4 linked regions of the Stegostoma tigrinum genome follow. The protein of the gene in region 1 binds, or shares a complex with, the protein of each later gene. Links are inferred from orthologs where the notes say so. Each region holds a gene or a part of one and is shown in the gene's direction. Other genes may lie near its edges. The genes, in order: nhp2, gar1, wrap53 and tert.

The links.
Region 2: nhp2 (region 1) and gar1 share a complex: the UniProt entries of both Homo sapiens proteins name them as parts of the H/ACA small nucleolar ribonucleoprotein (H/ACA snoRNP) complex. The link is inferred for Stegostoma tigrinum from reciprocal best matches to the Homo sapiens genes NHP2 and GAR1.
Region 3: nhp2 (region 1) and wrap53 share a complex: the UniProt entries of both Homo sapiens proteins name them as parts of the telomerase holoenzyme complex. The link is inferred for Stegostoma tigrinum from reciprocal best matches to the Homo sapiens genes NHP2 and WRAP53.
Region 4: nhp2 (region 1) and tert share a complex: the UniProt entries of both Homo sapiens proteins name them as parts of the telomerase holoenzyme complex. The link is inferred for Stegostoma tigrinum from reciprocal best matches to the Homo sapiens genes NHP2 and TERT.

The regions. Positions count from the first base shown.
Region 1 is NC_081376.1:48,796,234-48,803,973, reverse strand, and holds the start of nhp2 (H/ACA ribonucleoprotein complex subunit 2-like protein), read left to right. Parts: upstream 1-4,728; 5' UTR 4,729-4,956; coding exon 4,957-5,113; intron 5,114-6,490; coding exon 6,491-6,560; intron 6,561-7,740. UniProt on the Homo sapiens protein: Required for ribosome biogenesis and telomere maintenance. Part of the H/ACA small nucleolar ribonucleoprotein (H/ACA snoRNP) complex, which catalyzes pseudouridylation of rRNA.
Region 2 is NC_081354.1:61,441,192-61,449,208, forward strand, and holds the start of gar1 (H/ACA ribonucleoprotein complex subunit 1), read left to right. Parts: upstream 1-4,997; 5' UTR 4,998-5,147; intron 5,148-5,254; 5' UTR 5,255-5,327; intron 5,328-8,017. UniProt on the Homo sapiens protein: Required for ribosome biogenesis and telomere maintenance. Part of the H/ACA small nucleolar ribonucleoprotein (H/ACA snoRNP) complex, which catalyzes pseudouridylation of rRNA.
Region 3 is NC_081398.1:3,819,502-3,827,021, reverse strand, and holds the start of wrap53 (telomerase Cajal body protein 1), read left to right. Parts: upstream 1-4,503; 5' UTR 4,504-4,610; intron 4,611-5,039; exon of another isoform or gene 5,040-7,520. Other genes in the region: transmembrane protein 217-like, read right to left, coding at 1,142-1,723. UniProt on the Homo sapiens protein: RNA chaperone that plays a key role in telomere maintenance and RNA localization to Cajal bodies. Specifically recognizes and binds the Cajal body box (CAB box) present in both small Cajal body RNAs (scaRNAs) and telomerase RNA template component (TERC).
Region 4 is NC_081355.1:13,889,971-13,897,016, reverse strand, and holds the start of tert (telomerase reverse transcriptase), read left to right. Parts: upstream 1-4,035; 5' UTR 4,036-4,046; coding exon 4,047-4,265; intron 4,266-7,046. UniProt on the Homo sapiens protein: Telomerase is a ribonucleoprotein enzyme essential for the replication of chromosome termini in most eukaryotes. Active in progenitor and cancer cells. Inactive, or very low activity, in normal somatic cells.

The DNA.
Region 1 (7,740 bases):
CATAACGCTTGGCCCTTTACAATCAAGAACCTATGTATCTCTCTCTTAAATATACTCAATCACTTGGCTTCCACAGACTAGCTTCCCTCTGGCTGAAGAAATTCTTCCTCATCTCAGGGTTATGCCTTCACTCAGTCTGTGCTCTCAGGTCCTAGTCTCTTGTGGAAAACATACTTGTGGAAACATCTTCTCCATGTCCACTCTATCCAGGCCTTTCAGTATTCTGTAACTTTTAATCAGAGTTCCCTTCATCCTAAACTCCATTGATTACTGACCCAGAGTCTTCGTGTGATAAGTCCTTCATCCCCAGGAGTATTCTTGTAAAACTCCTCTGGACCTCCTCTCAAGGTTAGTACAGACATCCTTAGATATGGTACCCAAAACCTCAATATTCCAAATGTGGTCTGACTAGACCCTCAGCAGTACATTTCTGCTCTTGTATCTCTTGAAATGAATGCTAACATTGTATTTGCCTTCGTAATGGCCAACAGAACCTGCATGTTGACCTCAAGAGAATTTTGAACTTGGACTCCCAAGTCCTTTTGTGCTCCAGATTTCTGAAGCCTTTCCCATTTAGAAAATAGTCTACTCTATTACATGTCCCTCCACCAATCTTTGTATCATCTGCAAAATTAGTAATAATGCCCTCAGTTCCTTCGTTCAGATCGTTGATGGAAAATATGAATATTTGTGGTCCCAACACAGTCCCCTGCTGAACTCCATTCCATCACCAGCTGCCATTATTGAAAAAACTACATTCTATTCTCATTTCATAACACTTGTCTCTCTTAGAGAATTGTTAAAAAGAGCCACAATGCACTCTTTAATGAAAACATTTTCAAAACACATAATAAATGTAACCTGTAATCAATGTCATAAAGTACTTTCACAGAGAGCTTTCTCATGAATGCCAAAGAACCACAGAGCTTTATAGCATAGAAAAGACCCTTTGGCCTATTGGGTCTGTACTGATCAGAAACAAGCACCTAACTACTCTAAGAGATAGCAGAGAAGTGAATAGCAATAACAGCAGTCCTTGGGTGAAGGTGTTAAGTTGGGGGAAGACAATCTACAACAATATTAGGCAGGAACTGGAGAATGTTGATTGGAGGCAGCTGTTTGAGGGTAAATCCACATTGGACACGTGGGAGTATTTCAAACGGTAGTTGATAAGAGTTCAGGAGTAGCACGGTCCTGTAAGAGTGCAGGGTAGGTATTGCAAGTTACATGAACCTTGGATGACCAGGGATGTTATAATGTCAGAAAGAAACAGGAGTCATACATAAAGTCTAGGAGGATGGAACTGATGAAGCCCTTGAAGTATATAAGGAAAGAACTTAAACAAGGAATCAGAAGGGCTAAAAGGGGTCATGAAATGTCATCAGTAAGCAGGATTAAGGAGGATCCCAAGGCTTAATAAATATATAAAGCAAGCGGGTAGCCAGGGGAAGGTTAACCCACTCAAGGAAGAAGGAGGGAACCTGTGTGTGGAGTCAGAAGAGGTAGGTGTAGTCCTAAATGAATACTTTGTGTCGGTATTCACCAAAGAGAAGAAACTGGTGAATGATGATAGGCCTGAAACGTCAGCTTTCCTGCTCCTATGATGCTGCTTGGCCTGCTGTGTTCATCCAGCTCCACACCTTGTTATCTCAGATTCTCCAGCATCTGCAGTTCCTATTATCTCTCTCAGGGAAGGGAGTGTCAAGTTTCTAAGCCAAGTTGCTGTTAAAAAGGAACAAGGTGTTGTGCATCTTAAAATGTATTAAGGTAGATAGGTCCCTGGGTCTTAATGGGATCTATCTCAGAATATTGAGGAAGGCAAGAGAACAACTTACTGGATCATTGACAGACATCTTTGTATCCTCTTTGGCCACAGGTGAGGTCCCAGAGGACTGCAGAATAGCCAATGGCTGACGTTTTGGGCCTAGACCCTTCATCAGAAAAGGGGGATGGGGTGATGAAGGGTCCAGGCCCGAAGTGTCAGCTTTTGTGCTCCTAAGTTGCTGCTTGGCCTGCTGTGTTCATCCAGCTCCATACTTTGTTATTTCGGATTTTCCAGTATCTGCAGTTCCTATTATCCCTGCTGAATAGCCAATGTTGTCCCATTGTTTAGGAAAGGTAGCAGGGATATTCTTGGAAATTACAGGCCAGTGACTTTCATGTTGGTGATAGGGAAATTATTGGAAAAGATTCTTAGGGACAAGATCTAGAAGCATTTAGAAGCGAGTGGATTTATTAGCGATAGACAGCATTGTTTTGAATGCAAGAAATCATGTCTCACTAATCTGACCGAGTTTTTTGAGGAAGTGACAAAGGTAATTGATGAGGAAAAAGTGGATTGATGTTGTCTACATGGACTATAGTAAAACCTTTGACAAGGCCCTCATGATGGACTGGTACAAATGGTGAAGTCACATGATATCACGGGAGAGCTCTCAAGACAGATACAGAACTGGCTTAGTTCTTGGAGATAGACGGCAGTGGTGGAAGGATGTTTTTCAGAATGGAAGGTGTGACTAGTGATGTTCCATGGGGATCAGTGCTAGGACGTCCGCTTGTTATCTACATAAATGATTTGGAGGAAAATGTAGCGAGTCTAACGAGTAAGTTTGTGGATGGTACAAAGATTGATGGATTTGTGGATAGTGAGGAGGATTGTCAGAGGATACAGCAGTATATAGATTAGTTGGAGGCATGGGCAAAAAAATGGCAGATGGGGTTTAATCTGGACAAATGTGAGGTAATGCATTTTAGAGGGTCAAGCACAGGCGGAAAATACACAGCGAATGGCAGAATCCTGAGGAGTATTGGTATGCAGAGTGTTCTGGGTGTACAAGTCCACAGATCACTGAAGATGGCAGCTCAGGTACATAAGGTACTAAAAAAGGCTCATGGCATGCTTGCCTTCATTGAATGGGTCACTGAGTATAAGGATAGACAAGTTATGCTGCAGCTTTATAGAACTTTAGTTAGGCCACACTTGGAATATTGCGCACAGTGCTGGTCACTATACTGCCAGAAGGATGTGGATGCTTTGGAAAGAATACAGAAATGGTTAACCAGGATGTTGCCTACTGTAGGGGATTTTGGCTGTGAACAAATGTTGGCTAGGCTGCGTTTGTTTTCACTGGAATGCAGGAGGTTGAGGGGTGACATGACAGAGGTTTATAAGATTGTGAATGGCATGGATAGAGTGGCATATATGAGGCATTTTTTCAAGGATGCAGGGGTCAATTACTAGGGGGCACAGATTCAAGGTGGGAGGGGGGGAGCTTAAAAGAGATGTGCGAGGTAAGTTTTTCCCACAAAGGTGGTGAATGCCTGCAACGTGCTGCCAGAGGAGATGGTGGAAGCAGACAACAGCACCTGGATGAAAAATGAATAGGAAGGGAATAGAGGGATACGGATTCTGTAAGTGAAGACGGTTTTAGCATGGAAAGGCAAAATGTGGTGGCACAGGCTTGGAGGGCCGAAGGGCCTGTTCCTGTGCTGTATTGTTCTTTACTCTTATTTACTTGCTCCTCTGATGCTGCTTGGCCTGCTGTGTTCCCCCAGCTCCACACTGACTGCAGTATTGCTTTTTATTTCCCAGCTCTGGTAGGTGTCAGTGTTTACATGGGTGGACCTGGGGGTAGGCATCAGTGTTTACATGGTGGGACCTGGGGGAAGGGGATACTGTTTCGAAGGGGGTGCCTGGGGGAGTGTGTCAGTGTTTACTGTGGGCTCCTGGGGTAAAGTGTTAGTGTTCACAGGGGGTGCATGGGGTAAGTGTCAGAGTTTACAGGTGGGTGCATGGGTGAAGGGGTCGCTGTTTAGAAGTGAGTGCCTGGGGGAAAGTGTCAGTGTTTACAGGGGGTAGCCTGGGGGAAAGTGTCAATGTTTACAGGGGGTATCCTGGGGGAAAGTGTCAATGTTTATGGGTGGCGCTTGGGGGAAGGTGTCGATTTGGAATCAAGGGTTATGGGGATAAGGCAGGAACAGGATACTGATTGTAGATGATCAGCCATGATCATAATGATGGTGGTGCTGGCTCGATGGGCCGAATGGCCTACTCCTGCACCTATTGTCTATTGTCTCTTTTCCCCGCTTCTCATTTCTGAAGAAGGGTTCCGACCCAAAACGTCAACTTTCCTGCTCTAATGCTGCCCGGCCTACTGTGCTCTTCCAGCTCCACACAGTGTTATCCCTAACTATCCCAGTCTCATTTTCCAGCTCTTGGTCCACAGCAACTTATGCCCCGGCCTCGCAAGTTCACATCTAACTTCTTTTTCAATATTATGAAGGTGTCAGCCGTTTCCACGCTTACAGACAGTGAGTTCCAGATTTCCCTTCGTTTTCATTTCCTCACATCTCCTCCAAACCTCCTGCGCCGTTCCTCAAATCGATGTCCCTGGTCATTAATCCCACCACCAAAGGCAAAGTTTCTTCCTATCCTATGTCCATAGTAATAATATGCATCGTAATCAATTTTCTCAGCTCTAAGGAAAACAACTGGCCTCTGTAAACTCGGTTAATTTCCATCCTGAGAGCGTTAAGGTATCCCGTTGCCACGGTGACCGTTGCCGGTTTGATCGGCAGACCAGTAGGGGCGGGGTCTGTATGACGTCACTGTCCGGAAGTGGGCTGTCGTTGCCAGGAGATCGTAGGACCTGCAGATTCTGAGATAACAAGGTGTAGAGCTGGATGAACACAGCAGGCCAAGCAACATCTTAGCAGCAGGAAAGCTGACGTTTCGGCCCTTTTCTGAAGGGTCTAGGCCCGAAACGTCGGCCTTCCTGCGCCTCTGATGCTGCTGGGCCTGCTGTGTTCACCCAACTCTACACCTTGTTATCTGTCGTTGCCATGGCAGCCCAGCCTGACGGCCAGGAATGGGGCGGGCTTCAGCCTCACGTCACTTCCCGGAAGTGGGCTGCCGTTGCCATGTGGTGACGGCGCTGCAGCGGAGACTGGGAGAGAATGAAGTCCCCCAAAGTGAAGAAGGAAAAGGCCGACAGGCCTCAGTACGAGGAGACGGAGAAAACCTACGAGGAGTTGGTGGCCAATGTGAACGACATCGCGCAGCCGCTGGCCTCTAGGAAACTGAGCAAGAAGCTGTACAAATGCGTGAAGAAAGGTAAAGATTTGGCGGGGAAGCGGTGTGGGGGAAGGTCTGCATCATCGACCCCAGGCCCATGAACAAAACTCTTCATGCCTCTGCCGTAGGACTGTTAGCTCAGGGTAGTTGCACTACGTGTGAAGGTAATTCGGCCAGTAGTGTCTGTGCTGGTCCTTTGAGGCTGCAATGCGCCCAGTGCCACTCTTTCCCCATACCCACCGTGCACATTCCTCTCTTTCAGATAATCCAAATCCAGGTGTAACTCGGCTCTGAAAGCTTTCACAGCTCTACACTTTCCTTTATCTTCCTCTTTGTGTCTATCTCTTCTTCCTGTCCTTGTCTCTATTTCCCTCACACGTCCCCATCTCTTCCCCCCCTTCCCCGTCTGATCTTGATTTCTGCATTAAATCAAACGCCTGTCACTAGTCAGTTTTGGTATAGTTTGAAACGGCTACAGTTTAGTAAAAAACATCTTATGTTCTAGACTTCCTAACATTGACTTCAGTGATTTCAGAATGTAATTACTGCATGCAACTCTTGCCAAGGTTTTGCTATTGCCACATGCACATTCTCCAGGTTCATCTTTTGTTCCTTTGTTTGTCACATCTAGAGGAAGTGGTGGCATTTTGGTAATGTTATTGGACTTTAGCTAGAGGCTAATGCTCTGGAAACATGGATTCAGATCCCACCGTGGCAGCTGGTGGAATTTTATGAATAAAGCTAGATTTAAAAGCTAACCTCAACTGGTGTCTCTAGAACTCCTATTCAAAATCCATCTGGTTCGGAAATGTCCTTCAGGGAAGAGAGTCTGCCATATTTACGTGCAGTGATTCCAGACCAATAACTGTGTGGTTGACACTTCACTGTCCTCTGCAATAACATGGCAGAACATTCCATCAAGGGAAATTAGGAATGGACAACAAAAGCTAACCTGGTTAGCGACACCCACATTCTGTGAAAGAATTAAATACTTCCTGCCACTTTTGCCTTGCATATTACATTATTATTTAATGCCCCCCCCCCCCCATTCCATCCCAATCTCAGACCTTCCCTTTTGTTCTTCTCTGCTTTCTCTTTTCCTGGAGGTGCTTGCTTAAAATCTATTAAGTCTTCAACTTTTTCCAGTTCTGATAATAGTTCATAGATCTGAAACATTACCTCTGTTTCTTGTCAGATGCTGCTTGATCTGCAGAATGTTTCCAACTTTTATTTTCTATTAATAATCTCTTTAATTTGGTTGTACAGTTTTTTTTCTGGAGCAGCTTCTGATTTTGTTGAGATAAAGATTTGTATTTGACAAAGTAAGTGGTGGGGAGAATATGGTTGTTACACATTGCTTGGAAACTTCAAAATATTTCACAACATCTCATTGTAAATTTCCATTTTTGTCTGCAGCAGCAAAAGTGAAACAGATTCGCCGAGGAGTAAAGGAAGTTCAGAAATTCATCAACAAGGGGGAGAAAGGGTGAGTATAATGTATCTGTTCTCTGATGCAGCACAAAGAGGAATTATTGTTATACATTTTTAATTCGTAATTCTTTGAATGCAAGCTCTCTACTAACACATTGTCCTACAAAGTAACAGATGTGAATTTGTCATTTTTCATCCACCATTTCAGTTCGCTACCTGAGATATTTTGTTTTGGGATTGCAGCAAGTGACAACCACCCACGAGCCCCAGGAAGAAAATGAGAGGATTCAGTTTAGTCGATGCTTGTACATCTAATCTGTTGGCCTCAGAACTGAGCTGTCAGTTTGGCTGTGTGACAGAAACAAAACTGACAATACTCAATTCTTAAGAAGGGTCATTGGACCTGAAACATTAACTGGGATTTCTCTCCACTCATGCTGCCAGACCTGCTGAGATTTTCCAGCAGTTTCTTTCTGATTTCCATCATCCTCAGTTCTTTTGGGTTTTTTTAAATAGTAGTGTATGGTTCACACCTCGGTATGATGTGAACAAAAGATTCCAATTATGGAGGTGATAAAGTTTTAGTGGACTAATCCAATTGAGTGAATTGTTTAGCTATTTCAGACAGCAATTGAGAGTCAAATGCATTGCTATGTGTTGCCTGTAAGTGAGGCTGGTAGGGGGATTGTTTTCCTTCCTCGAGGGACAGTAGGCAGCCAGAAAGAATTTAATAAATGTCAGTCATTATATGATCATGATTACTGAAACCAGCTTGTCATTTTATCCTTTAGATTTATTAAGAGACTTAAAAGATCCAACTCCTGTGGTGATTGAATTATCAGTCCAGTGATTTAGATTTAATTCAACGATATCACCACTATCCCTGACATCCTAATTGTAGTGCTGCAGGTTTATCCTATTGAAATTGCCATGCCTGTAGCCAAGCTGTTCTATTATTGATACAATGCTGGCAACCAGATGGCAATGTGGAATTATCTAACCAGTTCCCATTTGCATTCAATGGGATTAATATTACTGAGTTCCATCTCTTCTCCCAGTACTCAACACTGTAAATCAGTTCTGACGAACGCTTACTGGATGCATAACATTAACTCTGCATGCTAATAGACCTGCTGAGTTTCTCCAACAATTTTTATTTCAGATCTCAAGCATCTGCAGTTATTTGTTTTGCTGTGAATATTTTATTCATTAATATTACTGGGGTTTTCACAGTG
Region 2 (8,017 bases), on another chromosome or scaffold:
GACCTGAAGAAGTTACCCTCCGGAGAAACCTCAGGGGATCTCTCTCCCACTGCAACTCTCTCGTAATCTCTTCGGCCTTGAAACTACTCGACCACGTCCTGAAGCAAACCAGGTACTACAGCCACATCACCTTCCTCAGCACCTGCCTACAGAACCAGATCATCCCCAATGGACTACAGTCCACATTCAAGCCTTCCCAATTTTGCCCCAGCCGTGAGAATATCTACATTCAGAACATTGAGACCCTTCAGAAGCGTTTCTCCCTGCGAGTCCTGAAACAGACACTCGCAGCCATACGCCGGCATCTCCAGGCACTGAAATCCAGCCTACTCCAGCTCAGAGCCTCTCTCTCCCAGACCTGCAAAGGACCTCTCCTGTTTTTTATTCTTCGTAGGATCCACAACCTGAACTCACAATTCTACTCAGCTTCATTAGCCACTAAAAACCGTAAGCACAGCAAACTCACTGGCCCCTGCCACCTAAAATGGGATTCCTCCACCTCCCAAATCCCCAGCCCTACCCGGACCTTCCCCACAATGTGCCCACTGACATTGGCCACGACGCCACTGTCGGAATACCCACTGATGACGTCACATCCGCCACCACCGGGAACACCACTTCCGGGACAGCAAACACCATCGCTGCTGTAGCCACCGCCTCCACTTCCGAAACCAATACCACAGACATTACCGACACCGCTACTGCCACCACCTACCCGGCTCTGCCCATTGCCGACGCCGCTCCATCCATGACGGATGTGGACGCAACTCCGCCCACCACTAACGACGACACAACTCTGCCCACTGCTGATGCTCATGGAGCTCCGCCTACAGCCGAGGCCGGTGCAACTCCGCCCACCAGTGACGCCGACGCAACCCCGCCCACAGCCGATGCCGACGCAACCCCGCCCACAGCCGATGCCGACGGAACCCCGCCCACGGCTGACGCCGACGGAACCCCGCCCACAGCTGACGACCTCATCGCTCCGCCCACAGCCTCCACAGCCAGCAACCCCAGAGAAGACAGCCACACTGAGCCCTGCCGAATCTTCACTATGCCCCCAGACTTCCCTCTGACTGAGGTCGAAGGGTCAGTCCTAAGCAAGGGGCTCACCTTTGTCCCCCTACAACTACACATCAATGAATACCTGTCGCGTCTGGATATTGAGCAGTTTTTCCGCCGCCTTTGCCTCCACGCTTATTTCTTTAACCGTGAGCCCAACCCTCCCTCTACTGACCCCTTCTCCCGCCTCCAACACAAGTCCTCCTCCCGGACAACACCCCCAGGCCTACTACCCTCCCTCGACCTCTTCATCTCTAACTGCCGTCGAGACATTAACCGCCTCAACCTCTCCACCCCTCTCACCCACTCCAACCTCTCCCCCGCAGAACAGGCAGCCCTCCGCTCCAACCCCAACCTCACCATCAAAGCTGCAGATAAGGGAGGTGCAGTTGTAGTATGGCGCACTGACCTCTACATCGATGAGGCCAGACGCCAACTTTCCGATACCTCCTCCTACCGCTCCCTGGATCATGACCCCACCCCCGAAAACCAAACCATCATCTCCCAAACCATCCACAACTTCATCACCTCAGGTGATCTCCCACCCACAGCCTCCAACCTCATCATTCCCCAGCCCCGCACCGCCCGCTTCTATCTCCTTCCCAAAATCCACAAACCTGCCTGCCCTGGTCGACCCATTGTCTCCGCCTGCTCCTGCTCCACCGAACTCATCTCCACCTATCTGGACTTCATTTTCTCCCCCTTGGTCTAGGAACTCCCCACCTATGCCCGTGATGCGACCCACATCCTCCACCTCCCCCAGAACTTCCAATTCCCCGGTCCCTAACACCTCATTTTCACCATGGACGTCCAGTCCCTATACATCTGCATTCCCCATGCAGATGGCCTAAAGGCCCTCCGCTTCTTCCTGTCCCGCAGACCCAACCAGTCCCCCTCCACCAACACCCTCATCCGCCTGGCTGAACTCATCCTCACCCTCAACAACTTCTCTTTCCACTCCTCCCACTTCCTGCAGAAAAAAGGGGTGGATATGGGCCTCCGCATGGGCCCAAGCTTTGCCTGCCTCTTTGTAAGTTACATGGAACAATACCTCTTCTGTAGCTACGCTGGCTCTAAACCCCACTTCTTCCTCCGGTACATTGATGACTGTATCGGTGCCGCCTCATGCTCCCACGAGGAGCTCAAACAGTTCATCCACTTCACCAACACGTTCCACACCAACCTTAAGTTCACCTGGACTATCTCTAAAACCTCCCTCACCTTCCTGGACCTCTCAGTCTCCATCTCAGGCAACCAGCTTGTAACTGATGTCCATTTCAAGCCCACTGACTCCCACAGCAACCTAGAATACACCTCCTCCCACCCACCCTCCTGCAAACATTCCACCCCCTATTCCCAATTCCTTCGCCTCTGCCGCATCTGCTCCCAGGATGAGGCATTCCACTCCCGTACATCTCAGATGTCCTTGTTCTTCAAGGACCACAACATCCACCCCGCAGTGGTTGAGAACGCCCTCGACCGTGTCTCCTGCTTTTCCCACAACTCATTCCTCACACCCCGTCCCCGTAATAACCATCAAACCAGAATCCCTCTAGTCCTCACGTACCACCCCACCAACCTCTGGATACAATGCATCATCCGCCGACACTTCCACCATCTGCAATCCGACCCCACCACCTACCTCGTCCTCCCTACCCTTGTCTGCCTTCTGGAGGGACCACTGTCTCCGCGACTCCCTTGTGCGCTCCACACTCCCCTCCAACACCACCACACCCAGCACTTCTCCCTGCAACCGCAGGAAGTGCTACTCTTGCCCCCACACCTCCTCCCTCACCCCCATCCCAGGCCCAAGATGACTTTCCACATCAAGCAAAGGTTCACCTGCACATCTGCCAATGTGGTATACTGTATCCATTGTACCTGGTGTGGCTTCTTCTACATTGGGAAAACCAAGTGGAGGCTTGGGGACTGCTTTGCAGAACATTGCTCGGTTTGCAATAAACACCTGCACCTCCCAGTTGCGAACCATTTCAACTCCCCCTCCCATTCCTCAGATGACATGTCCATCCTGGGCCTCCTGCAGTGCCATAACGATGCCACCCGAAGGTTGCAGGAACAGCAACTCATATTCCGCTTGGGAACCCTGCAGCCCAATGGTATCAATGTGAACTTCACCAGCTTCAAAATCTCCCCCTCCCCCTACCACATCTGAAAACCAGCGAAATTCATCCCCGCCTCCCTGACCTGTCCTTCCTCCCACCTATCCTCTCCTCCCACCTCAAGCCCCACCCCCATCTCTGACCTACTAACCTCATCCCGCCCCCTTGACCTGTCCGTCCTCCCCGGACTGACCTATCTCCTCCCTACATCCCCACCCACACTCATCTTTACTGGCGCCATCCCCACCCCTTTAACTTGTCTGTCTCCTCTCCACCTATCTTCTCCTTCATTGACAGTATGCAGAGATGGGCTGAGAAATGGCAGATAGAGTTCAACCTGGATAAATGCAAAGTGATGCATTTTGGAAGGTCGACCTTAAATGCTGAATATAGGATTAAAGGCAGGATTCTCGGCAGTGTGGAGGAACAGCAGGATCTTGGTGTTCAAGTGCATAGCTCCCTCAAAGTTGCCACCCAAGTGGATAAGGTTGTTAAGAAAGCATATGGTGTTTTGGCTTTCATTAACAGAGGGATTGAGTTTAAGAGCCGTGAGGTTTTGCTGCAAGTCTACAAAACCCTGGTGAGACCACACATGGAATATTGTGTCCAGTTCTGGTCGCACTATTATAGGAAAGATGTGGAGGCTTTGGAGAGGGTGCAAAGGAGGTTTACCAGGATGCTGCCTGGACTGGAGGGCTTGTCTTACGAGGAGGGTTGACTGAGCTTGGACTTTTCTCTCTGGAGAGAAGGAGGAAGAGAGGTGACCTGACCAAGGTGTACAAGGTAATGAGAGGCATGGATAGAATCGATAGCCAGAGACTTTTCCCCAGGGCAGGACTGACTGCCACGAGGGGTCATAGTTTTAAGGTGTTTGGAGGGAGGTATAGAGGAGACGTCAGAGGGAGGTTCTTCACCCAGAGGGTTGTGAGCGCATGGAATAGTTTACCAGTGGTAGTTGTGGAAGCGGAGTCATTAGTGACATTTAAGCGACTGCTGGATGTGCACATGGGCGGCAGTGAATAGAGGGGAATGTAGGTTAGGTTATTTTATTTTTGGATTAGGATTATTCCAAGGCACAACATCGTGGTCCGAAGGGCCTGTACTGTGCTGTACTTTTCTATGTTCTATGTTCCCCTATCCATCTTCTGTGTGCCTCCCCCTCTCTCCCTATTTATTTCAGAATCCCCTTCCCCTTCCCCATTTCTGAAGAAGGGTCTAGGCCCAAAACGTCAGCTTTTGTGCTCCTGAGATGCTGCTTGGTCTGCTGTGTTCATCCAGCTCTACACATTGTTATCCTGGATTCTCCAGCATCAACAGTTCCTATTATCTCTCATCACCAATAACCTCCTCACTGATAGCCTGGCCTCAGCCATGGTCATGCAGCTCCAAACTAGGTTTTGGCCCATACAGGGTCAAAAGAAGCGAACTCCAGAAGTGAGCATTATGAAACTTAGCAAAGAACTAGCGGAGAAGATTTCCATGAGGTCAGGAATGGGATACTCAACATCTTGCTCTGATAAGGGTGCATTGGTTTCGCACATTCAATCCTGAGCACATTTGACATTCTTTGTTCTCGCCCATATACGTGTAATGTTCTGCAAGTATTCAGCTCAAAGTTTCCCTGCAAAGAATTTCTCAGCAGTTTGAGGGAGGCTCTTCAACGTAGCTATATGACATGAGCCACCAGGAACTGCCAAACCAAAGGTGCCCAGTTGTAATTCCCAATTGTTTCGCTGCTGGTGCAATGCTCGTACTCTCTCGCTAGAGGGTGCGCCACCGCGCCGTGCGCTTGCGAAGAGGGCACGCAGACCGGTAACTGTAATACGGCAGGTCACGGATGTTAAGAAGCGTCCCAAAACTGACGTAAAGTTCCGGTCTCTGTAATGCACTCATTGAAAACCCTGGAACAATGTCGAGGGCGGATCCGGGTTTGAAATGTCATAGGCGTCCTTGAAGTTTGTAAAGGTAAAATAATTTCAAGGAATTGTAATACAGAGGCAGTAGTAGGTTCTTACAGGACTCAAAAAGCGGGTTAAGTTTAGGATTGTGTGTGTGTTTTTTGTTCCCTGCAGCCGGGATTGAGTGCACGTGGCTGAAGAAGGAGCGCGTGCTCCGGGTAACATTCTATCTCTGGGCCAGGGTTCGGTGAGTGAGTGGAGCCGCGCGCTGCCCGGGGGACCACGTTGCACGGAGTGGCTCTTGCACCGGGAGTGCATCGGATCTTTGGGCTCCTTCCTGTGACAGGCATGGCGACTGCTCAGAGGGTCGACCCAGAAACTGGCTTTCACGACAAGCTATGTGCTCCTACATTTCCATTGTGCTCACCCCACACCCCCCGCCATTTAATTTTGCGCTGCAGGCTTTGCAATAGTGACATTCAAAAGAATTGAATTCAAGGCAATGGCTTCATATGTTTCAGAGATAATGGGAACTGCAGATGCTGGAGATTCCAAGATAATAAAATGTGAGGCTGGATGAACACAGCAGGCCAAGCGGCATCTCAGGAGCACAAAAGCTGACGTTTCGGGCCTAGACCCTTCATCAGAGAGGGGGATGGGGGGAGGGAACTGGAATAAATAGGGAGAGAGGGGGAGGCGGACCGAAGATGGAGAGAAAAGAAGATAGGTGGAGAGAGTATAGGTGGGGAGGTAGGGAGGGGATAGGTCAGTCCAGGGAAGACGGACAGGTCAAGGAGGTGGGATGAGGTTAGTAGGTAGCTGGGGGTGCGGCTTGGGGTGGGAGGAAGGGATGGGTGAGAGGAAGAACCGGTTAGGGAGGCAGAGACAGGTTGGACTGGTTTTGGGATGCAGTGGGTGGGGGGGGGGAAGAGCTGGGCTGGTTGTGTGGTGCAGTGGGGGGAGGGGATGAACTGGGCTGGTTTAGGGATGCAGTGGGGGAAGGGGAGATTTTGAAACTGGTGAAGTCCACATTGATACCATATGGCTGCAGGGTTCCCAGGCGGAATATGAGTTGCTGTTCCTGCAACCTTCGGGTGGCATCATTGTGGCAGTGCAGGAGGCCCATGATGGACATGTCATCAAGAGAATGGGAGGGGGAGTGGAAATGGTTTGCGACTGGGAGGTGCAGTTGTTTGTTGCGAACTGAGCGGAGGTGTTCTGCAAAGCGGTCCCCAAGCCTCCGCTTGGTTTCCCCAATGTAGAGGAAGCCGCACCGGGTACAGTGGATGCAGTATACCACATTGGCAGATGTGCAGGTGAACCTCTGCTTAATGTGGAATGTCATCTTGGGGCCTGGGATGGGGGTGAGGGAGGAGGTGTGGGGACAAGTGTAGCATTTCCTGCGGTTGCAGGGGAAGGTGCCGGGTGTGGTGGGGTTGGAGGGCAGTGTGGAGCGAACAAGGGAGTCACGGAGAGAGTGGTCTCTCCGGAAAGCAGACAGGGGAGGGGATGGAAAAATGTCTTGGGTGGTGGGGTCGGATTGTAAATGGCGGAAGTGTCGGAGGATAATGCGTTGTATCCGGAGGTTGGTAGGGTGGTGTGTGAGAAAGAGGGGGATCCTCTTGTGGCGGGGGCGGGGTGTGAGGGATGTGTCACGGGAGATGCGGGAGACGCGGTCAAGGGCGTTCTCAATCACCGTGGGGGGAAAGTTGCGGTCCTTAAAGAACTTGGACATCTGGGATGTGCGGGAGTGGAATGTCTTATCGTGGGAGCAGATGCGGCGGAGGCGGAGGAATTGGGAATAGGGGATGGAATTTTTGCAGGAGGGTGGGTGGGAGGAGGTGTATTCTAGGTAGCTGTGGGAGTCGGTGGGCTTGAAATGGACATCAGTTACAAGCTGGTTGCCTGAGATGGAGACTGAGAGGTCCAGGAAGGTGAGGGATGTGCTGGAGATGGCCCAGGTGAACTGAAGGTTGGGGTGGAAGGTGTTGGTGAAGTGGATGAACTGTTCGAGCTCCTCTGGGGAGCAAGAGGCGGCGCCGATACAGTCATCAATGTACCGGAGGAAGAGGTGGGGTTTGGGGCCTGTGTAGGTGCGGAAGATGGACTGTTCCACATAACCTACAAAGAGGCAGGCATAGCTGGGGCCCATGCGGGTGCCCATGGCCACCCCCTTAGTCTGTAGGAAGTGGGAGGAGTCAAAAGAGAAGTTGTTGAGTGTGAGGACGAGTTCCGCTAGGCGGATGAGAGTGTCGGTGGAGGGGGCCTGGTCGGGCCTGCGGGACAGGAAGAAGCGGAGGGCCTTGAGTTCTTTAAGGACCGCAACTTTCCCCCCACGGTGATTGAGAACGCCCTTGACCGCGTCTCCCGCATCTCCCGCGACACATCCCTCACACCCCGCCCCCGCCACAACCGCCCCAAGAGGATCCCCCTCGTTCTCACACACCACCCTACCAACCTCCGGATACAACGCATTATCCTCCGACACTTCCGCCATTTACAATCCGACCCCGCCACCCAAGACATTTTTCCATCCCCTCCCCTGTCTGCTTTCCGGAGAGACCACTCTCTCCGTGACTCCCTTGTTCGCTCCACACTGCCCTCCAACCCCACCACACCCGGCACCTTCCCCTGCGACCGCAGGAAATGCAACACTTGTCCCCACACCTCCTCCCTCACCCCCATCCCAGGCCCCAAGATGACATTCCACATTAAGCAGAGGTTCACCTGCACATCTGCCAATGTGGTATACTGCATCCACTGTACCCGGTGCGGCTTCCTCTACATTGGGGAAACCAAGCGGAGGCTTGGGGACCGCTTTGCAGAACACCTCCGCTCAGTTCGCAACAAACAACTGCACCTCCCAGTCGCAAACCATTTCCACTCCCCCTCCCATTCTCTTGATGACATGTCCATCATGGGCCTCCTGCACTGCCA
Region 3 (7,520 bases), on another chromosome or scaffold:
CTGTCTTGACAGCAGACATATTTATCCACTGCCAATCACCCAGTCTCAGTAATTCACACCTCCCTATTCAATCTCTTTGTCGCATGTTTTCTCTACTCAGTCTTTAAAAGAGCCATCAAGTTAATTGCCCTTCCCTCCTCTTTCTTGGCATGATCCTGCAACTTTTCCCTTTAAGCGGTCACTGAATTCTCTTTTCAAAGCTGCTACTGAATTTACTTCTACTGCCCTTTCAGGCAGTGTGTTTCAGATCACCATAGCTTGCTGCACTAAAGGTAAAAATTATCTGCGCTCTGTTTCCATTCACAATTATCTCTATTCGATGTCCTGTGATTTCGTGCATCGCAAACAATTTTTCTACCCACATCCATGATTTCAAACACCTCTATTCAATATCTCCTGAACCTTCCCCGTTCTCAGGAGAACGAGACCAGCTTGTTCAGTCTTTCCACATCACAAACATCTTCTCTAAGGCCTTGAAATTGCTCATAAAGCGTGGTGCCTAGAATCAGACTGAATTAATATGCTTCATAAGTTCTTTGCTTTCCCACTCTATTACACTATTTATGACTCATTGATCTGAAATGCTGCTCTTATTATAATGGAAAATGTTATTGCACAGCAGTTACTCCTTTGCTGGTATTACCAACTGGGCAACCTAGGAGCTTATCCTCCATTTACAAACGAAACAGAACTAAACAAAATGTTAACTTTTTAATAAGAATTATTAATTGTAACAACTTAATTTTTAAAAAAGGGTTACAATTCGTCTTTAGAATCAACTGGAGTTATATACAAATGTTTCGATCAGTACAGTATTTTTAAAAAATCAAAAATATATTGTACCCTTATCGGTCTGGAGAGTGCTGTAAAATATACAATATACATCCATATTTACACGTATTTTAACATATTTAATAGGCATCCCAATAATCCACCATCGGTTAAAATCCTGGACATTTGTGGGTATTGCAGGTTTAACTTTGCTGTAAGGATGCCATTGTGTCAGCTTGCAACTGAAAGGAGCTGACCTGGCCTTCACTGTCTGTGGGACGACAGTCTGGAGGAAGCCCAGTATGGCTTGGAGAACGTTTCTTTGGTCGAAGAAGGAATGTCACCTGACACCACAAACTGTGGGGCATGATTACACACCCAGTTCCTTGACTTTTGCAAATTTGAGCTTTGGTGGAGTCTTCCTCTTGGTTTTCATGGGATCATCAGTGTTCCTGATGGTTTTGTACAATTCGATTGCATGTGAAGTCACAAAAATCATCCAGAAAATGTGCGAAAGCAGACGTGTGATGAGCCCAAACCATTCCAACACACGCACACTGCTTGGGAACCAATTTTGATCAGGCAGTGACAAACTCAGGAGGCTAATCTGTAAAATCTCATATAAGAATATCCAAATGATGTAGCCTGCCACTCCCCAGAACACCTCCTTCCAGATAGATACGAAAAAGAGAATAATTGCGATCAGAGTGAGACAGACAAAGATAATTGATATGATGCTGTATATTTGAAGTCGGGAAATTTGATTCACGGAGCTAGGAATAACCTGAGGCCTCAAGTAACGAAAATGCCCCGCTTCAAAAATGAGCTGCATGATGGATACCATCAACATGAACAGTCCAGCCACAATACTTCCTTCTTTGGCGTTCAACCCACACAAATTTCCAGATTTCAGTTTTCTCAATCTGTTGCGCAAGCTACGAATGTTCAGCATTTCGTTTCTTGGTGCTGTACATCCTTCTGAAAGTTGAGGGGCTTCTTTTTTTCAGCAAATTGGATCGTGAGGCAAGATAAACAGTTCACTGAAACAAATTTTACAACAAACATTGGTACAGTTGATTCCTCTTTCCTAATTTCTCCAGATCTAGAACAAGTCCAATCTGGTGCAAACTCTGTAAAACTCCTCCTTTTAAATACTCCCTATAGGACAATGACATGTAGCTACCCCAAACTGACTCAATTTGCTATAAATAGTTGTTTACAATATTAGGATTCAACAAAGTTTGAACAGGCAGGCAATGGGCCTTCCACAATCAGCCACTTGGGCCATTGGTGGAACTTGGGGAGTAGGGGGCTCTTCTCCTTCCTCGAGACGATTGAGATGCGTTAGGAGAAACCTCTTTACCCAGTGAGTGGGGAAGATATGGAACTTGATCCCACAAAAGGGGAGTTCAGCCAAATAGGAAGTCAGAGGAGTACATGAAGGAGAACACAATAGAAGGGCATGTCTGTAGGATAAGACAAAAGAGGCCGTAATGGAGGATAAATCAGCAACACAAACCAATTGTGTTGAATGGGCTGGTTTGCCTTCTAATTATTCCTGAACTGAGGGGAAGCAATATTTAGGAGGAACAAACGTGATATAGCTTTCAGCTATGAAATGTGTCCTTTCAGAGACTTTTTTTTCCTGTTTTGCATACAGCCTACAGTGGCACAATGTATGTCTGCAACTCAATGCTTTAATAGTCAGACAATTCACAAACTGAAAAAAAATTGTGAAGGTCCAGCAAATCTAAAAAAAAAATTCTATCTCCCAAACTATGAATACTGAAGATATATCTGAAAGCTAATATTCCAGACATCCTCAGATGAATAAATAGAAACATAAATCCACAGATCCCACATTTTTCACAGGCCCAGTACACTAAAAGCAAGTTTCCAAACTCCTCCAAAAATCCTATCATCCTCCAAACTATTAATAACCCTGACATGATTTAAATTATGAAATCCAGATATCCTTGTAACTACTGTTGGACCAGACGTATCAAAAATATAATTCCATGCATCCTCCAAACTGTGAAGAGTCCAGGTATTCTCAAAATTCTTTCAAAACAATTATTCATTCTTGCACAACTCTGAAATTTGTATATAGACCAAAATTCTCTTAAATTTATAAGATCTCCAAAATTGATGAGAATCCAGATATCCCTCAAACTTGCAAAGATTCAAGTAGGATATAACAAGAACTGCAGATGCTGGAGTCAAAGTCAATACAGCGTGGAGCTGGAGGAACACAGCAGCTCAGGCAGCATCAGAGGAGGAGGAAAGTCAACATTCTGGATCATCAGGATTGATGAAGGGTCCTGAACCGAAACGTCAACTTTCCTGCTCCTCTGATGCTGCCTGACCTTCTGTGTTCCTCCAGCTCCACACTGTAAAAATTCAAATATCCCTCCCGTGACATCCCTCTGTGCCTGTAGCTAATTCAGGGCACAAGTCAGAAGTCCAAAGGAACACTCTCCAATTATCTGAAAAAGATGCAGCTCCAACAACCCTCAAAACTTCACACCATCCAGGTCAAATCAATCAATTTGATTAGCAACGCTCATAACACCTGTGTCAAACCATCATTATCCAACTACCATTGGTTCACCTGTGCCCAAACTACATTGGTCCATGTGTCCAAATTACCATTAGTCTACTTGTACCCAAGTCATCATTGGTCAAAATACCATTGGTCCACCTACGCACAAAGCATTTATTGGTCCATCTGTGACCCAAAGCCATTATTAATCTACCTGTTTCAAAAGCATCATTGGTCCAACTACCATTGGTCCACCCATGCCCTCAAATCATCACTGGTCCACTTATACCCCTAAACCACCATTGCCCATCTGTGCACCCAAACCCACTATTGGTCCAAATGGCATCAGTCCACAAATGCTCAACCACCATTGGCTGACCTGCACCCAAACCACCACTGGTTTACCTGTCCCAAAAGCACTATTGGTCCTTCTGTCCGCAACCACCATTGGTCCACCTGTACCCCCCAAACTACCACTGGCTCACACTTCCCAAAAGCACTATTTGTCTGACCAGTTGTGGTTACCTGAGCTCAAACACCATTGGTCTACCGGTCTCTAAAGCCCCATTAGTCTAACTTGCATTGGTCATTTTGCGCTCAACCATCAGTGGTCCACCTGTATCCCCAATTCACCATTGGCCCCTCTGTACCCCATATCCACCATTTGTCCATGTTTGTCCACAAGCCCCCAGCGGTCTATTTGTATCCCCAGACTGCTATTGGTTCATCTGCATCCCCAAAACATCATTGGTCCATTTGTATCCAAAACACCATTGGTACACCTGTATTCCAACAGCTATCGTTGGTCCACCCAAAGCACTATTGGCCCAACCACCATTTATCCACGTCCCCCATTTCCCCCTGTACCTGACCCACAATCGGTTCACCAGTTCCCCGGACCATCATCGGTCCGATGGTATCCAAGCCTCTCAGCGTACCAATTGCCGCCGGCCGCAAGACTCGCCGTTTATTTTTGGCCTCTTGAGCTCTTTGGGGCCTAGCGCCATTTTCAGTACTCACGTTCCCCCCCACCGGTTCGGTTGCCATGGCAGCGGCCCCGCCCCCGCCTCAGTGACGTGTTTTGAATTTCCCGCGCCGCTGCCCAACGGCCCCCATCCCACCGCGTCTGCTCGCACGTGATCTGGCCGCGCAGCCAACCGCCATCTCCCGGAGGACGGGCTGGTTGGTCGCCACTACGCCTGCGTGGCAGCCCTGATGCGGCTCAGAAACTGCTGGAGAGACTCAGCAGCGTCTGTGGATAGAGAGGGGGAAAAAAAACCCAGAATTAACGTTTCAGGTCCAGTGGCTTTTTCTTCAAAACTCATTGTAGCTTGGAAAGGGTTGATATATATGTTAGAGAAGGAGATCGGAGTGGAGGGACTGGGTCGTGATCAGCCTGGGAGGATCTATAGCTGCTAATGGGGACAATTAATGGCTGACAGTGGGATAGTTTGTGGTAGTAGGCTGTGTGATGACAAGGCCTGGTGTGGTTTCGGGTTAGGGGAAGGTGCAAGATGCTCAGGTCTTAAGGGCAGAACCTTTAAGAGTACTACTAGGCAGTGGGATCTGGGTGTATAGGTATACAGGTCACTGAAAGTGGCAACGTGGGTGGAAAAGGTAGTCAGCAAAGCACGCTTGCCTTCTCTAGCTGGGGCATTGAGTTTAAAAATTTGCCGGTAGTGGTGCAGCTTTATAGAACCTTAAGTTTGGCTGCTTTTGGAACGTTGTTGCTTGGCCTGCTGTGTTCATCCAGCTTCACACTCTGTTATTTTGGAATATTGCGTTCAGTTTTGGTTGCCACACTAACAGAAGGATGTGGTGACTTTGGAGAAGCTACAGAAAGATTTACCAGCATGTTGCCTGGCATGGTGGGCCTGAGCTATGAGAAGAGGTTGGAGAAACTTGGGTCTTTTGCACTGGAATGTCGGTGGTTGAGGGGAAACCTGATAGAAGTCTAGGCCTGAAATGTCAGCCTTTGTTCCCCTGAGATGCTGCTTGGCCTGCTGTATTCATCCAGCTTCACACTTTGTTATCTTGGATTCTCCAGCATCTGCACTTCCCATTATCTCTAGAGGTCTACAAGATTGTGAAGGGCATGGACAGACTGGACAGTCATAAGCCATTTCCCAAGGTGGATGAGTCAGTTACCTGGGGCCAGGGGTTGAAGGTGCGAGGGGCAAGGTTTAAAGGTGATTTACGAGGCATTTTTTTTTACAGTGTGCCTGGAACTCTGCTGGGGGTGATAGTGAAAGAAGAAACTATAGTGACTCTTAAAGGGTGTCTTTACAAATATATGAATAGGATAGAGGGATAAGGTCTCTGGAAGGATAGGGGGTTTTAGTTGTGACGGGCAGCATGTCGGTGCAGACTTGGAGGGCCGAAGGACCTGTTCCTGTACTGTAATTTTCTTTGTTCTAAAATTATTGAACTTGATTTGAATGTTGGAGTAGGCATGTCTTGCTGCAGTTATATAGGACCTAAGTGAGGCCACACCTTGAGAATTATGAGCAGTTTTGGTCTGATGAAGGATGCTTTTGCTGTTGAGGAAGTCCGGCGAAGGTTCACCAGACTGATTCTCGGAATGGAGGCATTAATGAATGAAGAAAGACTGGATTGACAGGGCTTGCACTTGCTGGAATTTAGAAGAATGAAGGTTGGGGGAGGAGGTGTTCCCAAAGAAACACAAAATTGTGATGGAATTCGACAGGCTGGATGCAGGAAGAATGTTCGTGATGTTGAAGTCCAGAACTAGGGGGTCACAGCCTAAGAATAAAGGCAGAAATCGCACAACACCAGGTTATAGTTCAACAGGTTTATTTGAAGTCACAAGCTTTCAGAGTCCACCCCCTTCGCCAGATGAAGACGACAGGAAGTTTAGGGTCATTTGTTGCAGACAGACTCGAGCTATGTGCCCATGGATCCAATATTTTCCTTGTAGAAGGTTAACAGTTAGCACTTTATTTTAGGTGATCCCAGCCTCTTTCCCTCTACATAAACCTTGCCATAAACTCTCATTTTTTTTTGGTTAAAATTCAATTTTGTCTTTTGTGCTGCAATGTAAGGTAGTCACTAGGAAATCCAATGGGGAACTTGGGAGAAACATTTTTACCCAGAGAGTGGTAAAACTATGCAACTCTGTCCCAAAGGGAGTAAATTTTGCAAGTCTGGTAGTATTAGTGGGGAGAGAAACAGTTAATGTCTTGAGTCCTGTGACTTTTCTTTGAAATATGTTATGTATTTTATGGGTTATTGGACTTCTTTGAGAGTGACCATAAAATAGTAGGGTAATTAGTTTGTAATTTGGTCCATCAAGCCTGCTCTGCCATACATTAAAGTTTTGATTTGACTTTATCCCTTGTCCCCTTTTCCCTCCCCATCCCCAAATAACCTGAATTCCAATTGTGAAGTCAAAGACCATAGAAACAGACCCTTCAGTCCAACCAGTCTGTGCAGACTATAATCCCAAACTAAACTAGTCCCACCTGCCTGCCTTGGTCTATATCCTTCCAAACCCTTTCTTTTTAATGTACTAATCGAAATGTCTTTTGAATGATGTAACTGTACCTGCATCAACCACTTCCTCTGAAATTCATTCCACATATGAGCCACACTGTATATATTTTTTTAATAAAGCTGCCTTTTGCATCCTTTTAAATATTTCCCCTGTTGCCTTCAACATATGAAATCTCCCAAAATAGGGAAAAGACACCTGCAATTCACCTTAACTATACCCCTCAAGATGTGTAGAAAACGTTATGATCATGTGCCTTCATTATTTCACCAAAACATACCTCTGAACCTGCAAAGAGACATTAGTTAAGGCTTTGAGGTTTCACATTCCACAATAGAAACAGCACATCAAACAAATAATCCCTTAAAAGGAAATAAAAACAGATCTTGTTGGAAAAGCTGAGCAAGTCTGGCAGAATGGATGGAGAGAAATCAGAGTTAGTGTTTCAGCTCCTTAGACCCTTCCTCAGAACATAAAAAGGCCTGGGATGGATGTGAGGAGACTTGTACTTTCTGAATTGAATCTGGGGATGCAGAGTTTGCATCCATGACCACAGAGGGTGCTGTGATTTGGCTGCTCAGGCATCCATATAACTAGACCCCAACAGAGTTCAGTTAAATTGGCAAGAAAACTCCATACAATGCAACATAAAACACTCATTTTGAAACAATTGCAGCCTTGCATCCAGGTCTGAGT
Region 4 (7,046 bases), on another chromosome or scaffold:
AGCCACTCACTATCCTGACTTGGAAATATATTGCTGATCCTTCATGGATAATGGGTCAAAATCTTGGAACTCCCTAGTGACATTGTGGGTCTACCTACAGAACATGGACTCCAGCAGTTGAAAAAGGCAGCTCACCACCACCTTCTCAAGGGCAAGTGGGGATGGGCAATAAATGCTAGCCCCTGGGAAGTGTATTTTTATACATCTTTTGTGGAAAGGTTTTGCAATATTCAGTCCACATCTGAGCACTGTGTCAGCACAACTAATAATAAAGTATTTCTGATTCTTGACCAATAGAAAGACTGCTTGTGGCTTTTCTGCAACAACCCAACTTAGATCCTGATTTAAAAATTCTGCACTCGGGTCATTTTGTTTAGCCAGTCTCCCAGTTTTGGCTTCTGTTTGCTACTAGTGCTAGTTTCGCTGGTGTCTAAATGAACACTGTATCCCCATCACAGCCTCAGTGTATTCTTAAAACTACAGTATATTATTTTGAATAGTTGAAAGATTGAACACCCCAATAATATACACAAATTAAAGCTCTTCATCTTTAAACTAGTGTGCAATACAAATTAATGACATTCCTTATTAATGAGGTGAAATCTGAAACTTTCTTTCACTGCATATTTTGAAAATTTTTTTAACTTGAAAACCAATAAATCCTTGCAGACCTCTTAATATAATATATTAATATTAATGAAAGAAGGCCCTTTGTGACTATGTCTGAATTAATGTTGAGATCAACATGCTGTGGCATTTTTTTTCATTTGTATAGAATATGCATTTGAGAGGAATATTTTAAATATCAACTTTCGGAACCAGATTTATCTGCTTATCTAGGTATTCCATTTTGACAATGTGCATGCTAAAAAAATTTGGAAACATTAAAAAATAAACAATTTGGGACAGCAGGGAAGGATGTACACTGAGTTGGCATGTTAATAATTATGTTATCAAAATTACAGTTCTAGGCCAGGACATTGAACTGATACTAGGAAATTTACTGTTACACTTAATGGATCAGATTAAACAGAATCTGATGTTGCCATGGCCACCTGCAACTAAATTTGCTCATAACTCCTAGGTGGTAATCTATCACCAAAATTTTATTTCCAGAGGGAAAAATTTAAAAAGCAAGTAGTTCGTACAGATCCATTTCTGAATTGCATTCATAGCATAATGAACAGTTCTAGTCTTTTTGCTACAAAATAAGTATGACGTTACTGAGAAGCACATAAATGACTTACAAAAAGGATAACAGAATTTAGAGAATATATCAGGTTGAACATGATGGAGAAAAGAGGAGGCTGAGGAGAGATGGGCATTTAAAATTATAATAGGGATTCATGAGAGTAGTCTGAGAGATTCTATCTGCGAGGCAGACAAAAGTAGTGGCCATAAATGTTACTAATAAATCCATTAGGAAAGTCAAGAAAACTTTCTTCACCTGCAAAGAAAAATAATTTATTTTATAGAGTGTTCTGCCCAGCCACTGAGCACCTCAAAGCACTTTTATCACAAATTACATATTTTTGAAGTTTAGTCATCAATATGTGATATGCAGCAGCCAATTTGCACTCCCAGAAACTGGAAATGACCAGGTGATCTGTTTTTGCGATGTTGATTGAAGGATACATTTTGATTGGAACACTGAGCTAACTTTTTTCTTCAAAATTATGGCAAGCAATCATTTACTTCCACTAGAGCAGGCAGAGAGCCTCGGTTTAACATTTCATAAAAGGATGCAATCTTGCGTATGCAGCACTGCCCCAGTACTGCACTGGTGCGGCAGTCTGATTTTAATTGTGCTGAAAGGCTGGTGTGTAACCTAAATTTGGAACCATTGATTCAGATCAAGAGTGATACAAATGAGCTCCAACTCCCAGTAGTGAGTCATTAATGAAACCAAAGGGAAATTCAGGAGTGTGTTAATATCATGATCATGTTCTGACAGCATTAGACAGATGGGGAGCAGACAGCTTACTGGCACAACCTGTTGAACATTTATTAACTATTTATACTAATGTGCGGAGACATAACAGGTAAATAAATATATGAGAGTGATTAAGGGTAACTCGGTTAGTTTGATCCAAAATTGGCCTATTAGCAGGAGACAGGGTGGGGGTGGTAGAGGTAGGGACAAACCAGTGGCATACCACAGTGATCAGTGCTGGGTCCCTTATTATTTGTGATATATGAAGATGAAAATGTGGGGAAGGAGGGAGAGGATGATAAATGTGCAGATGCCACAAAGATTATTCAGTTAATTGTCAGCAAGGAAGATGGTCTTAGGTTCTGGGAGGATATAGACAGATCGGTAGAACAGTGGCAGATGGAATTTGACCCTGATAAATGTGAGGCGATGCACTTTGGAAGAAGGAATAAGATGAGGGAGTACTCCGAGACTGGCTAGATGCTAGGAAGCTCAGAGGAATCTTGAGCGTGTTTGTCTACAGATCCCTGAAAGTGGCAGGACGTATTAATGGGATTGTTAAGAAGGGATGTGGGACACTTACTGTATCAGTTGAGGCATGGAATATACGAACACAGAGTTTTGAGTTGGAGCTGTACAGAACTTTGATTTGGCCACTGCTGGAGTACTGTGTCAGCACACTATTGGATGGATATGTTTGCACTGGAGGGGTGCAGAGGAGATTCACCGGAACAGAGTCATAGAGGCTTACAGCATGGAAACAGACCATGTCCAACCAGTCCACACCCACCATGTTCCCAAAATAAACTCGTCCCACCTGCCTGGGCTAGGCCCATATCCCTTCAAACATTTCTCATTCATGTTCCTATCTAAATGTCTTTTAATCATTGTAACTGTACTCTCATCCACCACTTCCTCTGGAAGCTCATTCCACACGTGAACCACTCTGTGCAAAAAAGTCACCCCTCATGTCTTATTTAAATCTTTCTCCTCTCACTTTAAAAATATGTGCCCAAGTCTTGAAATCCCGCACCCTAGGGAAACACACCTGCCTTTCACCTTATCTATACCCCTCATGATTTTATAAACTTCTTTAGGGTTACCCCGTGATTTCCTATGCTCCGGTGAAAAATGTCCCAGTCTATCCAGCCTCTCCTTATAATTCAACCCCTCCATTCCCGGAAACATCCTGGTAAACCTTTTCTGTGCCCTCTGCAGCTTAGTAATATCCTTCTTATAACAGGGGGTCCAGAACTGGACACAATATTCCAGAAAACACCCCACCAATGTCCGACACAACCTCAAAATCATATCCCAGCTTCTGTACTCAAAAGTCTGAGCAATGAAGGCAAACATACTCAATGCCCTCTTAAGTTACATGTGATGCAAACTTCAAAGAATTATATTCCTGAACTCCTGGGTGTCTCAGTTGGACAGCACTACACTTTTAATTGTATAACTCCTGGCCTTGTTTGTTTGGTTGCCCGGGATGGAGTGCTTTAGCTGTGAGGAAAGGCTGGATAGGTTCATGGTGTTTACTTTCAAGAAGAAAAAAATTGAGGGAGGGGACAAGATAGAAGTGCATGAGGGTAAAAGGGCATGAACAGGCACCGAAACGTCAGCTTTTGTGCTCCTAAGATGCTGCTTGGCCTGCTGTGTTCATCCGGCTCCACACTTTGTTATCTCGAATAGAAAGCAGTTGTTCACTTTAGGTGAAGTGTCAGTAACAAGGTGGGGTGGGAGCGTGTGTAATTTTGAGTGAAGGCTGGAGGTTTTGAGGGGACTTTCAGGAGGAGAGACTAATCACCCAGAGCGTGATGGTAATGTGGGAGGTTAATTGAAGGGTGTAATCTCACGACCTTTTGGATGAGCATTTGAAACGTCATAACATCGAAGGCAATGGGACGAGTGTAGATTTCAGGTAGCGTTTGGCGGCAGAGACTGGATGGGCCAAGGGGGTCTCCCCTGCACTGTGCTAGTTTCTGGATCCAATGAGAGGATGGGTGGTGGGAGGAGATTGGATGCTGTGGGTCGGGCGGGAGGAAGTGCGAGCAGATTGTGATCGATGAGAAGGGGGTTGGTTGCTGAAGTCTCAGTGAGAAAGGGGTGGACAATGGAGGAGGCCAGGCTGTTCGGGCTGTTGGCCTCCGTCTATCCCTCCGTGCGCCGCCTGCAGCAGTTCGTTGCGGAGATCAGCGAAGCGGCAGGAGTCGCGCCGCCGGCTTTGCTGGAAAGCAGCGACAGCGGGCACTACCGGCGCTTCATCTCCCAGCTCATCGTGTGTGTTCCCGGGGAGGCAAAGGCTGTGTGCCGGCCGCTCACCTTTCAGCAGGTACGGGGCTAGGCAGACAGCTCCCGGCAGCACTAAAGCGCCCGGCACCTTCCGGAGCCGAAGTGCCGTTGCTTTATGTACAGGGGCACATTTGGGGAATAACAAGCCGGAGAGGCTCGGAACGGCGCAAAACCCCCCCGATCCCAGGCCATGTTTCTGCGCTAGGGCTTCCTGAAATTCAGCGCCGGATTTACGCAGCGCGCAATCTTAAGGGTAAAAAGGCATTTCGTATGCACCACGTTCACGTTTTTCTAACACCCTCCCCAAAAGTAAAAGTTGAGTCAAAGGGGGATTTGGCGCGATTAACGTTGACACTATTCCCCCCCATACCCCGTGTCTCTAGGCAGCATGCTGTGAAAACTCACTCAGTTTCCAGCTGTACTCCTCACCACCTCCCCCACTTCTCCACTCCCCCCCCCCCCCCCCCGCCAGGTTAGAGGTGGTCTCGGCTGTTCGGTCCAACCCAGGCTGAGCAGAAATCCCCACCACTTTAAACATTAAGTCAGCAAAAACCTTCCTTTAAAGTCTCCGTTGCAATCTCCATTCTGTATTCACCAACTACACTAAAAAAAAGCAAGGAAGTGCTGGAGAAACTCTGTCGGCCTGTCTTTCTCTCAGTCGCTGAAGTAGGAACGAAGTCACCAAAGCAAAATACTGTAGGTGCTGGAAATGTGAAACAGAAATTGCTGGAGAAACCCAGCCAGTCTGGCACCAGCTGTGGAGAGAGGGAGAGGAAGAACAGTTATTGTTGCAAGTCCAGTTTGACTCTCTGGAATTCAGCCCCACAGTAGCGTTTGACAAGGGACCACCTGCACTCGAAACATTAACCCTGTTTCTCTCTTTGTAGATGCTACCAGATCTGCTGAGTTTCCTTTCTGTTTCTGTAGCTTTACTCCTATCACAGCGACTGTGTGAGGCTATTGCAACCTTGGGTCTATATTTCACCCAAGATGAGCTTTCAGTATTTTTTCATATTCATTCGTGGGATATGGGTGTCGCTGGCTAGGCAGCATTTATTGCCCACGTTGCTGGGGGTCTGAAGTCACATATAGGCTAAACCAGGTAAGGATGGCCTTTTCCTTCCTTAAAGGATATTAGTGAACCAGAAGGGGTTTTTCCCAACAATCGACAATGGATTCATGATATCATTAGATTCTTAATTCCAGATATTCATTGAATTCAAATTCCAACATGTGCCATGGCAGGATTTGAACCCAGGTCCCCCAAATCATTATCTGGGTCTTGGGATTAATAGTCCAGTGATAGTACCACTATGCCTTGCCTCCTTCCCCCCCCCCATCCAGACGTCAGTAAAGCTGGTATTTCCACTTTGCCCATCCCTGCATCTGTCTCAGCTCCTCTTGCTGCCTCTTATCTATGCCATTGTTACACAACCTCCTGACGATTCCACTCCTGCTTCATCTCCCACATCACCTTCAGTGAACTTCAGGTGGTCCAAACCTCCACTGTATCTACTAACATATACCAAGTACCAGTCACACACTACACCTAAGCCATGTGACCTAAATTTGTTTGACATTTCAGGTCAGGACCCTTCTTCAGACCCGAAACATCAAACTTTCCTGCTCCTCTGATGCTGTTTTGTCTGCTGTGTTCATCCAGCTTCACACCATGTTATCTCAGATTCTCTCTCATTGGCAGTTCCTACTATCTCTGACCTAAATTTGTTTTTGATTAAACAATGCCAGCCTTCTGCAGGATGATTGACCAGGTGATGGTGGGGAGGACATGGCCTAGTGGTATTGTTACTGGACTGCTAGTCCAGAGACTCGGCTAATGTTCTGGAGACCTGGGTTTGAATCCTGCCATGACAGATGGTGGAACTTGAATTTGATTTCTAAAAAAAATAGGAATTAAGAGTCTGATGATGACCACGAAGCCATTGTCAATTGTAGGGAAAAACCCATCTGGTTCACTAACAACTTTTAGGGAAGGAAACTTGTCCTTACCTACATGTAACTCTTAGTTGCCCTCTGGACAATTGAGAATGGACAAATGCTGGTCTAGCCAGCAACACCCTCATCCTGTGGATGCATTTAAAGAAGGTGTGTCCTGCTTTTAACAGGTGGTGAGGTTACGCCAGAATTAGCTGGCAATCTCATTTCAGTTCACCACAATGAGAATTACTGCAACTCGGAGATGGCATTCAATATAGATTCAAGATGCCACAGATACATATGAACAAGGAACAGGAGGAATTGAGTTTAAGAGCCTTGATGTTATGCTGCAGCTCTATAAAGCTCTGGTTAGACTACACTTGGAATATTGTGTTCGGTTCTGGTCAGCTCATTATAGGAAAGATGTGGAAGCTTTAGAGAGGGTGCAGAGGAAATTTACCTGGAGGCTGCCTGGACTGGAGGGCAGGTCTTATGAGGAAAGGTTGAGAGAGCTAGGGCTTTTTCCATTGGAGTGAAGAAGGATGAGAGGTGACAGAGGTTTACAAGATGATGAGAGGCATAGATAGAGTGGATAGTCAGAGACTTTTTCCCAGGGCAGAAATGCCTATTACAAGTGGGCATAATTTTAAGTGATTGAAGGAAGGTATAGGGGAGATATCAGGGGCAGGTTCTTCACACAGAGTGGTGGGCGTGGGGAATGTGCTGCTGGTAATGGTAGTGGAGTCAAATACTTTAGAGACTTTTAAGTGACTCTTGGATAGGCACATGGAGGATAGTAAAATGTAGGGTATGCAGGATTGAATGATCTTAGAAGGATAATAGGTCAGCACAAAATCGTGGGCCGAAGGGCCTGTACTGTGCT